2 linked regions of the Drosophila melanogaster genome follow. Changing the gene in region 2 together with the main gene of any one other region gives a genetic interaction. Each region holds a gene or a part of one and is shown on either strand. Other genes may lie near its edges.

Region 1 (7,223 bases), on a different chromosome or scaffold from region 2:
ACACTACGCTCCAGTAAAGCCTGCGTCACCTATAATCCCCTCGAGCAGGCCAAGCAGCAAATGCACCCAGCCGCCGCCGCACAGCAGCAGCGCAAGCGGGGCAATATGCTCGCCCAGGACGTGCAGCAGCAACAGCACCAGCAAAATCTTGCAGATGCGGCGGCAGCAGCCGGCATGGATGCCAACTCGGCACTGTGGCATCCTCTCTTCGGAAGGTGAGTGATGTTCCTAACCTAATCATCTTTCCCATCTGTTCAAATTAATCCACATCCGTTCCCTTTCAGCAATCCCAAACAAGGCTACAATAGTCCATGGCAGTGGACCACGGTGACGGCATCAGGTGAATGACAGTCAAGCCGGGCTCAAAAGGAGCCAGCACCTGGATCGGGAACAAGGACGGCCAGCTATGAGGAGCAGCATCAGCAGCAGGACTACAGCAACTATCACGCCTCGGCCAAGCAACAGCAGCAACAGCAACCACAACTTCCAGCAGCCAACAATCAAAACCACAGCAACAATAGTAGCAATAAATTTTGTTATCCAACGGCAGCGGCCATGGAGAATATGTTCCAGAACAATCAGATGGCGGCCGCTGCCGCCGCACGCGAATCCCTGCTGAATTCATATCTTTATCAAAAGGATAGCGATGCCGGCAATTATATGGCGGAGCAGAGCTACTGGCAACAGCACCAGCAACATCACCACCAACAGCAGCAGCAGCAGCAGCATCAACAACAACAGCAGCAGCAACATCAACAGCAGCAACATCAGCAGCAGCAGCAACACCAACAACAGCAACACCAACAGCAGCAACAGCAACAGAAGCAGCTCCAGCAGCAGCAGCAGCAGCATCAATGGAGCGCCAACAACGGCAGCAGCAACCAAAGGAGCAACAATTATGCCAACAACTATGCGGCGGCAGCCGCTGCCTCCATGTACATGCAACACTTCAATCCCTACATGCAACAGAAGGCGGCGCTGCTGGCGGAGAAGGCTGCCCAAGCGGCGGCGGCGGCTGCAGCGGTCCAGAGCAGTAACGGTAGCAATAAGCACGGACGCTTCGGCGGTGACTACGGCTAGGAGTCGTCCGGTGGGTTCACGGTTCAGCTAACCGAAGCGCAAGACACTTTAGCGCATAAACATAAACATATAGGCATATGTAACACTTGCGTGTAATAATAACTATATATTTAGAGGCATCGTATAGGCCGTTTTACCGCCAGGAATTGGTAAAGGATAAACCATGATTTTCCTTTAGTTTAATACACAGGAACAGCAACAACAAGGTAACCGGAACGCAAACAACAATAATTTATAAACAACAAACAAGGTGGTAAACACAAGCAGAGAGCAGTAAACATAAAAAAAAACTTAAATTGAATTAGTAAAAATTTGTTATTGGTAGTTTGTTAACAAAAAAGAAAAACACAAAAAATATGAAAAGAAAACAAAGAGGAAAAAACAAAAAAAAAACACGACAAGTAAACAAAAAATAATGTAGAGCGCGAAAGCGGAAGGCAAAAGCAAAAAAAAACCTAATTATTGTATTATTGTTAACCAAAATCTATTATTATTATTATTATCTCAAGCTGCGTTATATTATTATTATTATTATTAACTCGTGTGTCTGTATATAGCGTTTTTATCTAGATGTATTACACTTAGTGATCCCCCCACAACCCGATTCCCATCCCTGGAAACCCACATCCGACTATCCTCCAAAAATGCCAGGACAATCCTTGGACCCTTCACCTTCACCTATGACCTCGCCAAAAATCAAACGAAAACAAAGCGCAGCGCTAAAAGGCAAACAACCGATTTTGTATCCATTCCGAAATGTGTTTCTTTTTGTTTTTACTAGTTATTACGCTGATTATTTATGAAATCATCATCCCTAACATGTGCAATCTAACACTTATGTTCTAGATACAAAAAAAAAAAACAAAAAAACCAAACAAACACAAGAATCACAAAACTTATTAACGCGAAAATGGCAAAGCAAAAGCATGAACATGAAAATGGAAAAATAAAGAGAACCCTTTTAGAGAATTTCGCTGATAAAGGCAACAGAATAGCAAATCGCCACCGAGACTTTTAATTCAGCGGGTTTGGTTGGATCATCCAAATATGATGATTATGATGCAGATGATGCACTTGCACAAGTGGTTCTGTATAAATATAGTTATATTTGCATCTCAAGTTCAGTGTATAATAGGCATATAAAAGTTAATTTCTGTATAAATACGCAACTTTTCACTTACAAACAACATTATGTAATATTTTTTCTGTTTAACATTTAGTTAGAACCACGCTTAAAGTAAGAGTTCCTTTCGAAGGCATTTGAAATGCGCGCGTGCGAATGTTTTCAGCTATGTATCTCTGTGTGGAAGTGTGTGCCCGGTGCGGTTTCTTTGTGCTCCCAGCCGTCGATCTCTTCAGCGATGAGTCGTCGTCGCCATGGGCCAAGGGCCAATCTACTCAATCTGACGGCTGGCCTCCTGCAGGCGCGCCACCACGCCCTGGTAAAACTTAATCTGTTCGGCAATGAAATTCTTAAGCGTATGCTTCAAATGCGTATCCCGCTCGCTCTTGAAGTGGGTCAGCTCGGCCAGCACCGTGTAGGAGACGACATCTGTGCGCCGGTTAACGTCGTGCAACTGGGGATTATTCATCCTGCCCTCGCCGGCCAATTTCTCGCAGTCCTTTCGCTTCTGTATGGCACCCTTGTGCGTGGAGAAGATGTCCGGAAAGCAGTTGAGAACGCCCCTATTTGGAAAAGTGAAAGTAAGAATTAGATAATGCTTCTAGATCGTTCTATAAACAAATAGCGACGGAAAGTTACCACATTCTCTAGAAGTTATATATATATTATACATATGTATATCTATGTATATATTTCTTGTTAAACTAAAGGTCAGTCAGCGTAAGAACCACAATAATCTAAAATAAACTATTGGCCAACAATCGATTTTTCTCGCGAAACTATACATTGATTCATTGCTTAAAAGTAAACAATTTGAGTTCTTTATAAATAAACTTGATACCTTAAAAACAATTTACAAGAAAGTAATCTATCGAAAATTTTTAATTGTGAGTAATTCAGCCATATATGTATGTGCCTATTGTAACTTCTAGTATAGAAATGACACATGTCGTGGAATTCCCATTTTCAGTCAGCTAATCAATTACTGATGAATGAAACGAAATGTGCTATGCTTCCCATCACTTATAGAGACGTCAACCCACCTGTAGATGTGAAGTCGATCCGAGAGGGGAATCCAATCATGCTTTGGCTGGTCGCCAAAGGCCTGTCCAATACCGATAAAGATGCCACCGATGCGGCCGACGCTCTCGGAGAGCGGAACCGCGTTTCGGGTGGGCGCACGCCGCTCATCGATGGCCAATGCCTTGGCCAGGTCGGAGAGTCCGTCGCCAATGCGCTGGAACTCCTTTTTACTCTGCGACATGGAGCGCTTGGCCATGTCGTTGGATATATTGTTCAGGTTGCGTACTGCCACGTCCATGCTGTGTATGAACTGGGTGCCCAGCTCCACCTGTGCGTCCACCTTAGAGTGCAGCAGGTTCTTGTCCGGCGGCGAGATGGCCAGGCAGTAGTTGACGCCCATGTAGGGATCCCGTTCCGCCTTGCGTTTGCCCGACTTCCAGATCTTCTCGTCGCGGCAAGTGAGGAAATGGTACCAGACCTCGCATTTGGAGATCACCGGATGGCGGCACACCCAGTCGACGAACTCCTGCAGCTGCACACGTCGATGCTCCACGAATTGCTCCTCATAGCGGCCGGAGATCTGCTTGTCCGGCAGCGGTGGCACCGGAATCAGGCAAAACTTGTCCACCAAACGTTCGTGCAGCCAGTCGAAGTGCTTGTAGCGACGTGACACCTAACGAAAGGGAAACCCAGATTAGATATGACCAATTAATTGTGATTGGGTCACGCAAAGAGGAGCCCGGAGCTCGGGGGGTCAGAGCTCGTTGCTGAGTCATTCCCCGTGGCGGTTCGCAAGCACAAGCAATCATCGCAGTGCCGCTGGCTACCAGTTGGTCAGAATTGCCCCCACAAAGAAGAATTTTAAGTGCTTTTACGACTCTGTAATGCTCTACCTATTTGTATGTGTATTTTAATGGACTGAAAGAACTTTACAAAGAGCTTTGATTTCAGTTCGAAAGTAATGTCGAGCATTTATGCTTCTCATTATTGTAATGAATAAAGTTGATCGAAATTATCAAAATACTATTTAAGTAGCTAATAAGAAATGAACTATAGCTTTGAATAGTATTAAAACTTTAACAAATAAAAAGATAAATTTAGCCAATTTTCAGAGTCTTAATAAAACAAACCAATTAAAGAAATGGATATGATCTCCATTTAAATTTTCTCAGCAAAAAAGGGTCACTTTTAAGGTCAACTCAGTTGGAAAATGTTGGCCGGCAATTAGTGCGGAGTTTCGATAAACAAAGGATTGGTCTTTCTTTATTCCATTCCATCTGCTCGTGAGCACATGAACCAGCCCAAATTACCCTTGGCAGAGGGTAGCGAACACAGCACAGACACATATTATCAACAAAATATTGCACCCGTAGTTACACACTCATGCGCCAACGGTCGGAGCTTTATCGTATTGTGTTGTTAATCACGGCGATATCAGGGTTGGCCAACTTACGGATATGTTGTTGAAGCTAGGCGTCAGTTGGTAGGCAATGAACGTCTTCATCCCCTTGAATTTGGACTCCTTTTTGGGACTGGCCACCACAACGGAGTAGGGCGAATGGTTCTGCGTCCACTGGTAGATCGAGTCCTCCACCTGTGTAATGTAGGCCATCTCGCATTCGGGTATCTTCTCCTTGGTGCTGGACAAGCCGAGTATATATGAATCGGAACTTTTGGCGAACATGCCCTTTTTGACGGTGCCAGCAGCACCAGTCCCACCAGCCACGGAGGCCAGTGATTGGGTATCATCGTTGGGCGCGATGGGCAGGTGTTTGTTATCGTAGTCACTGGTGGAATGCGACAATCCGCCAGCGCGAGCCGACTGTCCCGCAGACTTCTGGCCACCTGGACCAATTTCCGAGTACGTGTCATTGTCGTCGCTCCAATCGTCCTCATCATCCCAGTTGCTGCCATCATCATCCGCCGTCTGATCGTAACGCGGCAAAGGGGGCGAGGCGAAGGGATCCGGAACCTGTGGCACCGACGTCGCTCCACTGGCGCTCAGCTTCTGGGCTTCGGCCGCCGACATCACCTCCACGTACGCAGCCGGGAAGAGGCCAATCTGGCCACGGGCATTCTTGCCCTCCCACCAGCCTTCACCCACATCGCTCCGGGTCACCGAGAGCACGTCGCCAGTCGCGATGGAGAGCTCCGAGGAGCCCGGCTCCCCGGTAAAGTCGTACATGGCACGCACGTACGAGGTCATCTTGGTGCTCTCCTGGTCGTTCCTTTACGCTAATTCGAGTCCTGTCTTCACAGGGGCCATAAACAGACAAGAAATATCTACTAATTCTGAATCACCAAGTGTGAAGTGTTACCGTTTCTTGGATTACGGAATTAAACTGACACTGACGTCTTCTTCGCTCTGCAGCAACAAGATATAATGATGATACAGCAATTTTATTAGGGGTATTCCCCCAACACACCTGAATTCTACACTTGGAACAGAGGCACTCTCTAATTTGATAAATAATTATAAAAACTTCATATTTATACTGTACTACTACTATATACTCACTAAAATAAAATAATATAAATGGTACATTTAAGTCGATCAAATTAAATTAATGAGTTATTGCGTTATCAAGAAAGATTTAGCTGTGAAAAATTACTTATGTTTATATAGATTTAACCTACAAATATTTCAAATAAATTGCTAGGTGGGTATACAATTTTATAGTAATAAATCAAGTAAAATATAAGGACAAATTTATGATCATAATTTTATATTGCACCAAATGCGAGGCGTTTCAACTACATTACGGTCTCCCCCTACTGATAAGCGCCGAGTGCCAGGGCTGCAGAGCACGGCTCAGCTGTCGATGTATCGGGATGCATCGAAGTATCGAGTTGGCATAAAAGAATCTGGTCTTCGTGTCGTGTTATTCATTCCTTAATTGCGCCTTGCTTTAATTTGTGGGTGAGCGAAATCGGAGCTCGGCGACATCGCCAGTTGTGCAATACTGACTCCAGCGGTATCTGTTAATCCCCAACCACTTCGCAAACGTATTTTCTTTGCCTTGCAGATTTGCTGACTTTGTCGTTCGAGTACTCAGCGTTTAACGACCACAATGAATCGGCAGGCGAAATTCCTAATCTTGTGCCTCTTTGTGGGCCTCTTCTCCGCGAATTTGTGCGAAGAAGGTGAGTCTTTGATCAAATTACACCGAATTAAAATCGAATTGAAGACACGCCGAACACTCATTTCTCAATTATGCACTCGGACACACACACACACACGCTTGCATGTGCATGCGTACGTGTGCGCAAACCCCTCGCGTGTGTGCGCCGTGCGGGCATGTGGGTGTGTGTGTGCATGAATGTGCGTGTGTGTGGATGTGGGGGTTTTTTAAATGCCAATTCCTATATTGAATATCAATTCTCCGGCCATTTTCTCTTACTCCGACTTTGGGGGAATGTTCTCCGCATAAGAACTGCAAATCTACAGCTTTCCAAAAGAAACTTGGAATTTACGAAAGTCCGTAAATTGTCACATTACCATACGTTAATATTTGTGGACATTTGGTAAATATGTATTTACCGAGCTGTAACCATATTTTGTTCGCAAGCATTTATTTAAATCGTCACGTCCTAATTACCATACGAAAATATTTGTACATATTTTAGGATTTAAAGAGATTTTGACCATATTTTGTTGACAAACAATTTAATGTTTACTTTTTCAGCTTTCTTAAATTTCCATTCCTTAAATTCCATTATTGCATACAAATAAATATCACCTAAATGCTGCCTATTTTGAATATAGTAATCTTTATTTTCCGAACCAAATCAATTTGTTTTGTTACGTTTTTCTATTTTGTTTGACAATTTTGACATCATTTACATGTGCAATGGAACTATTTTTATTTTCAATTCTTACAAAACATGTGTATTCGTTGTGCTTTTTGAAATATTGGAAATCGATCAATAAGAGTCGTTGTGAACTTATCATGCTTACCAATTTATTTGCTTTTAACTTTGGAGTGACGCATAAGTT
Region 2 (8,051 bases):
CTAGTTTCAAAGAAAACACGAAAAGTTACTTTGAAGTGTCGCCACAAAGAGATTGGGCAGGAAGATCACACGGATTTCATGCGGTTCTTCCCCTGAATATTTCCCAATTACATTGACATTGGTTTCCATGTGCCCATGTCTTTATAGCTTGAACTATATTCGATAGTTTCTTAAATTGCATGTAGCATTAAAAGAAATTACTTGAATGCAAACCATATTCAAATCCGAAGCGTAAAACAATAAATCTTAGAAAATGTTATCACCGGAAGTGGGTTAGATAAGCCGCAGAGAAAAAAAAAGAAGAGCAGTTCCAGAAATCTTAAACGTCTCTTCCCATGAGGGCTTTTCACAATTGCCCAGCCAGAAGCCACTATAAATAACGCAGACTTGCGATAATGTCAAGAAATTACGCATTAAAACATATGATATTTATGTACATTAAATGCACTTTCAATGATAAAAGCTGTTTAGTGGTAAATGTTTAAACTAAAAAGGGCGATTATCCAATGGCATGAAATAAACTCAACTTAAAACTTGAAATTCATGAGTACATATGCACCTAGCTACACAAATCCGAACTAATTATTGTAATTTTAATCTATGGCAAAGCTATAGCTAATAAGATTTTAATTTTATATAGTATAGTACTACGACTTTTATCGCAAAAGATTGATTCGCTTCTTGATACACAAATGCTATTCTTGGCTACGGTAAACGCCCCCAAGTCACCATATACATATATATACATATACTGTATATGTATCTCAAGCTACATCTGAGGAGTATCTTTGAGCACTGGCTGCCTAATTAGATACGTTATGCAAATGTGTAGATACTGTCGACACTGTCGTCGCATCGGTGACGATTCCAACCAAGTCCGTCTCCCTCGTTTGCGTTCTTTGGCACTCGGTGTATGTGTGGCCAACAGTTATCTACCCGTCTTATCAGCCGTATATGTACGTACACATACATATGTAAATCGTTGGTATATATGCACATACATATATGTATGTACAAGTGGGTATGGGTTGAAGCAATTCACGCTGATCTAACTGAACCAAAAATAACGAATGGAAAAGGGGAAAGAACGGATATATATTTAACTTTCAAAGACTCTCAGTGGATTTTTCAAATGATATGGCGGTTATATCGCATTTGATTTGATTTCTTTGAGTAATGAAATGAATAATAAAATGGTTTTGATTTGTATAAAGGAATACCCCGTTGCCTAGGGCAATATCGTCAGGAAAAACTGTTGCATAAATTTCAGCTCGAGCTGTTGCGAAATCAATTTCGATTTGATTTGCTGATTTTCGTCCGATCAACTGAAACGCCCAGCTGGTCCAGTTATGTATTCACGTTCACAAGAACCAGATTATAAGCACATACAAGAATATATCAATGTATAAATACACATATATATCAATGTTTATAAATTGAGCGCACTAAAAACGAATTTAAGTTAATCAACATTTAAATGGATAATAAAATCAGCGAATGCAGTCCACAAAAAGTTGATTTATTTCGCGCCTCCTAGTTTTTCTGCCGCCCCAAGTGCAATCAATTCAATGTAGAACAGCAATAACAGAAACCACAGCAGCATTACTAAATCTGCACACAATCTATATGCATTTTCAGCTGTGGATATATATATATATAGATCTCGACTGCATATGATTTTGAATATGCCAGCAGTGCTGAGTGCACTTTTCACACGAAAATAATTCATTGACGCATAAAAGTGGCCAAGATAATTGGCAACTTTTGGCAAGTCCAATTGATTTTTGGCTTTGGCAAAAGGCAAATGCGAATATTTCAGTTCCTAGAGTCACTCGAAAAATGTTGGCAATAAAAAGTTAGCTAACATAATTGTGAATGAAATTAGTTTATTTTCCGAAGACAAGGAAAATAAGCGATCGTCGCAGCAATTACAATAATCGTAAAAGCACATACTACGTAGATTAACTAAGTAAATAAGCCAGTGCGAATAACACTTGTGCCTCCAAGTGGCAGAGATTAATTTGGGTTTATTTAGTCAATTAATTAAAAGTGACTTGACAATTGTCCTTATCGATTCGCGAATTCCACAGTTTTTTTTTTGAAACCAATCAATCATTCATATGAAAATAAATTCCTCAAATGCAGATAAGTCCAGAGGGAAAATCGAGGAACAAATGCGTAAGTTTGAAAGTGGCACATTTTTCAAAAACCGCCTTCAAATCGCAGCATTTCGAGCACCAAAAATCATTCGGCAGGGTGCCAAAAACGAGTCGCAATCGCTAAAACTATCTGAACAAAAAACCTTATCGCCCCGACACGTAGATAACCGAACCGAAAAAAAAAAATAAAATAAAATAAAATATTATATATACGTATGTATGAGGGAGAGCGAGGGCGACAACAAAAAACCACACGAATCGAATTGAAACGAAAATCGGAGCATATGTTTTCCCTGGAAAAGAGCAAAATTTTTTGGGTTGGCCCATAGTAAGTGGACCAAACGAGTGGAAGATGTCTGGCAGTCCGAGTTTTTGATGTCTGGAGGAGAGTCTGGGCGCAGCAGATGCTTAAAGAACAGATTGTAAACGAATATGATCTTTTGATATGGTGCGCACTCCTCGGCCAGACGACAACGACAGCAACAACTAAAACACCAGCAGCGGCAACAAATAGGGGTGCAATTTTTCGATGTGTACGTAACGGTAGAATACACATTTAGTCGCTGCTCTTTTCTTTCCCAGCGCCTGGCCCTTTTTTCCTCGCGCTGAATGTAAAGAAGGGATCTCCGATCCGCTGATGATCCTCGGGATGCCTGCCTGTGTACACATGTGTTGTTCTATCTGTCGCAGAACAGTCCGAACTGCATGTGTGTGCGGAATATCTATGTGTGCGGAGTATCTGTGTGTGTGGCATATCTGTGCGAGTGTGTCGTCTTGTCTTGTCATGGGATCGATCTTGATCTCGGCCTGTCTGCAGCAGGTTGATACTTTTAGCATCGGTCCGGGCACAGAATCCGAGTTTAACGTGGCATGGGGCAACGAACCAGCCCGTCGAACATCCACTGAACTGTAATTGTCTGTGGGTATTTATGGAAAAGGATCTTGAACTGGTCTTTCATTTCGGACCAGACGCTCGAGGAGGGAAAGGGAGAGGAGCGGTTGGCGGTAGCTGGGCTCAATTATGATCCGACGATCGTCACACATCAAATTATCGATTATGGCAATAATTTCTTATCATTCCCTTGTGTATTTTGCTCGCAAATTGGTTTTTTTTAAATAGCCCAAGGGATATTAAACATGTCTTTAGAGTAGTTCAATGATCGTAACTCCTTAAATTATCGTTTTTTGGCTTTAAGACTGCGATAAGGACGTAAATCAAGTTTTATCATAGAAATAATAACAATTGATCTAAGCAAAATCTTATTGTAAAATTAATCATTTTAATGGTAACATTTTTATAAAATATGATATCGGTTAAGCCTTTAACTATCCTTTGATCTTTTTTGTATTAATAATTACTTTAATTTACATCCCAAATTGTAAGATCCTTTTAAAAACCCTTTCAGGTAACCCAAAGTGCAGAACAGGAAAGCCCCAATTATACATACTTTAAAACCGAAAGGTCAAAAGAGTAGCACTCCGGTATCAGTTTTATTGATACTTAATTGTCTAATGCGATCGCTGTGCTAGATTCTTGACCCTAACCAAAAACCGTTCACACATTCTCGATTACCAAACCCCTTGGATTGATGGCCCGAAACGCGATCGTGGGGCAGGCGAAGCTCATTTGCCGCACCGGAAGCTGTAAAAGGAACAGTAGTAATTTCGAGCGTGTTTCCCACAAGGGTTGTGGAAGTGCCCCACACACACACACTCACGCACACTGGCGGCTAACTAGCTTGGCTATGATGCCGAGTAGAAAACCAATTCAAATTCTGTTGGCCTGGCCAACAACGAGTTTATAGAGGCAGCAATCCTGAATCGAGGCGAGATCGCGAGATCGGCGGATCTACCGAGCGGTAGCCAAACCAGTTTTCTCCTAGATTCATTCAAGAAAACAGGCAACACCAACACAAAAAGGGTTTACATGCACTCAAAAGAAACTCTCTAAATTTCATATTTTTAAGATAAATATGATTTAAAAGTTATATTTCAAAACTATATATCAACAGCAATTAAGAGATATATGGTTTATTATTTGTTTTCAATTGTTTTGTCTTTTAATTTTCGCTGGATTTTTGTTTCGAGTGTAGGGAAAATAACAAAAACTAATACTTGAACTACTGTTTTTCAACACTTCACTTTTCTTACCGGTGCGGGGTAATAAAATAGCGCCCCTTCGTGAACAAGAAGGCGGGGGCTACTGGGCTCTTGATTTTTGGTTTGTGGGTTCTGGATTCTAAAGACCGTCTTTCGGTTGGCTTTTTATTAGGGTATCCAAATTAATTACAGCTTCAAATTAGGCGCACAATCTTGATGGACTCCGCAGCACCGATGACTATCTCTTGCTCGTTCTCTCTCTCTATCACGCTGTATAGATGTGTATGTTTTAACCCTCCGGTGGGATCAGCAGGTTGATTAGGGGGAGAGAGAGAGGGATTACGTGCCGGGCACAAAGACAAACGAAAAACCGAAAGGAACAACTCGAGAAGAAATCGGGGATCGGTTTAGCTCGGCTTATAAGACGCGAAAAGAAACAAACCGAAAAAAGGCCGACGGATCGCTGGCAAACACACACACGCGCGCGCACACTCACACTCAGGCACTCTCACGCGATGTTTGAGGAGATTTTTGTGGTTTTATGATGAATTTCGTATATAGAAATTGGTTTCCTGTGTTTCTGAACCGCGTTTTTTTTTCTGTTGCTGTTTGCCTTCCTTTTTTTGATGTATATTGCGCGCGCAGATCTTTAGATGTTTTGCTATTGCACTCATTCACTTACACACTGGGTTTTTGCTTGGCTTGCAAAGTGTTTTGCATTTGTTATTTATTTGTTATTTGATTCGTATAATTCATTCAAATCGAATTTACCGTAGCGCAAGTGCACGCTTCCCGAAAGAAAGACAAAAACAGACTGACCGACTGGCAACAGGCGGCAGCGACGCCGACGTTGGCGCAGACGCAGCGTTGACGCCAACGCCGACGCACCTTCTCTCTCCGTTTCTCTCTCTCTTTCTCTCCGCTGCTAAGATTAATATTTTTTTGTGTTGCTCTGGCAAGTGATAACAAAAATGGCAAATAATATGAAAATCGAGAGTTATATCAATCTGACTTATAAACATTATTCGCTATTTTACTTGATCGCTGGAATGAAAACGAAAAGGCGTGGGTGATCCTCAATCTCGCTATCTCTTTCGCACTCGCACTAGAGCGTGCATCATGAGCGCAAGAAAAAAATGGAAATCAGAATTACATATTTCGAGCAGCAAAAACAAAGTGTTTGCAGCGACAAAAAAATAGCAACAATTTATAAAAAAAATCTGCTTGCTCAGAACTCAGTGTAAGTGCGAATATGCGAGAGAGTGTGTGGGTGCGTGTATGTGTGTGTGTGTGTGTGTGCGGGCGATCGTTTTTGGCAAGCATTTAAACAGTGCCCAAAATCACTAGTATATTTAAAATATTTAGTATGCAAAGGGGGCGGAATAATAAAGACAAATATTTTAAAATTTGGCAGTCTCAGTCTTTCAATTGTGTACACTGATATAAAAATTTATTTATTTTGATTCTGGATTTTATACAAATCTATATTTTTGACAAATAAAGTAAATTGGTCAAAATATCAGTTCCAGCTTATTTAAAAGGAAAATTATACTAGTTTCTTTGTTATAATAATTAATAAAATATTTATTTAATATGAAATAATACCTATATGAAAATTTTGATGTGAGATTAAATTATCAACTTATTATTATCATTATTAAAGTTTGCACACAATGTGGGAAAGCTGCAGCTTGGGAAAATACTTTTGGACACCCCAAAAAAAGTTAAGCGCGATATTTTCCCACCGTGACCATGACAACCACTGTGCGTTCGAAAGGCTCTCTCTCTCTCTCTCTTTCGCGCAAATCAAAAACACAAACAGGTTTATGTGTGCGGAGAGTGTGTGCGACAGAGAGCGGCGATATGGAACTGAAACGACTGCAATGTTTTTATATTCCGGCAACGCATTTCGCATAAATTACAAATTACACAGCATAAGTGAATGCAAGTGCAGGGGCGGCAGTCAAATGGCCAGCTGCACCCAGAAAAAGGGCAATAAGATTCGGGATAACAAAACTTGATGGCGTTCCCGATTTTCCCGGCCAAGGGAGCGTATATGTACACATAAAAAAAAAAAACTTAACCAGCCTTGCATAACGAAACACGTGCAATAAAAATATGGCTGATTGTCAACCTCTGCTGCAACTTAATTGCTGCCGCAGAGGTAAAACTGAAAAACATAAAAGGGGGCGACAAGTGCAGCAAGCGAAAAAAAAGAACTCAAAGAGCGCATGCGCGCCGCTCTCCCACTCTCTCTCCCTCTCTCCACTGCGCTGGAATCTTACAACTCGTGTAGGTGAGCCGGATTTTTATGAATGAATGCGCCTGTGTGCGTGACTGCATGATGCCATTGCAGCGGAGAACTAGTAGAAAAAACTTCACATTTCAGCAGTTGGAAAACACATGGCCAACAGGCCAACTCAATTGGCCAGCAGCTGTCCTTAAATTGTCAGCAAATAGGGCATTTAATGCCCATTACAGGAAAATTATAGCTAAAATGGTCAAGCTGTGATGAAATAAACATAAATATTATATTTTATGATTTCATCAGATTTTAAGCATTATTTTTTTAATTTGTGTTAGGTGGAACTACAAAGCTAAGAATAATTGAGGATTTCTAGGTAAAACTTATATTCTTAAAACCATTTAATAATTTTCTTGTTTTCTTTTATTTGTAGTAACATTTTGAAATTGGCGCCAAACGTGTTACTTTACAGTGCTGTGCAACAGCTAAATGTCAGCATTCTCTGCAACGCGTTAGCACATTTCTGAGACGTTTGCAGATTTTTGGCGGCAACAAGTTATTTACATTTATTTATTTTATTTCTGCTAAACAGCACGGAAATGTCCGACTCCAGCAAAGGCAAAGTGCTGCAAAATACGGGTAAATTCGTCAGCGAGAATCGCACAGAAGGGTGAGTGGTCAAAGTTCGTGAATTTCACGCTGAACAAGATATTTTCCAATCTTATCCACAGCGACGACTTCTTCAATGAGGCGGGCTATCGTCAATCCCGGGAGAACGATAAAATCGACTCGAAATATGGCTTCGATCGGGTTAAGGACAGCCAGGAGCGGACGGGCTACCTCATCAACATGCATTCGGTAAGTTAGGAAGCCCATAAAACGTTGAAAATCATGTCCAATAATGGCTATGCCAATTGCAGAACGAAGTTTTGGATGAGGACAGAAGATTGATTGCTGCCTTGGACCTGTTCTTCATCCAAATGGATGGTTCCCGCTTCAAATGCACGGTGGCCTATCAGCCATATTTACTCATCCGACCAGAGGATAATATGCATCTGGAAGTGGCGCGATTTCTGGGTCGCAAGTATTCCGGCCAGATTTCTGGACTGGAGCACATAACCAAAGAAGATTTGGATCTGCCCAATCATCTATCCGGTTTGCAGCAGCAGTACATAAAACTTTCGTTTCTCAATCAGACAGCCATGACCAAGGTTAGAAGGGAACTCATGTCCGCGGTGAAGAGAAATCAGGAGCGACAGAAATCCAACACATACTACATGCAAATGCTGGCCACCTCGCTGGCCCAATCCTCCGCAGGTTCCGAGGATGCCACATTGGGTAAGAGGCAGCAGGATTACATGGATTGTATTGTGGACATAAGGGAGCATGATGTGCCTTACCACGTCAGAGTGTCCATCGATTTGCGCATCTTTTGTGGACAGTGGTACAATATCAGGTGCAGAAGTGGCGTGGAATTGCCTACGATCACCTGCCGACCGGATATTCTGGACAGACCCGAGCCCGTGGTCCTGGCCTTTGATATAGAA

The links. A genetic interaction does not mean that the proteins touch.
Region 1: of pnt (region 2) and SH3PX1, changing one suppresses a phenotype caused by changing the other (phenotypic suppression), as found in Drosophila melanogaster (one study listed by BioGRID).

The regions. Positions count from the first base shown.
Region 1 is NT_037436.4:9,708,254-9,715,476, forward strand, and holds SH3PX1 (SH3 and PX domain containing 1), read right to left. Parts: upstream 5,575-7,223; 5' UTR 5,433-5,574; coding exon 4,680-5,432; intron 3,900-4,679; coding exon 3,247-3,899; intron 2,767-3,246; coding exon 2,475-2,766; 3' UTR 2,169-2,474; downstream 1-2,168. Other genes in the region: CG16711 (uncharacterized protein), read left to right, coding at 1-215, 285-348; vsg (visgun), read left to right, coding at 6,298-6,370.
Region 2 is NT_033777.3:23,341,088-23,349,138, forward strand, and holds the start of pnt (pointed), read right to left. Parts: upstream 5,081-8,051; 5' UTR 4,311-5,080; intron 1-4,310. Other genes in the region: PolE1 (DNA polymerase epsilon subunit 1), read left to right, coding at 7,104-7,174, 7,236-7,362, 7,425-8,051.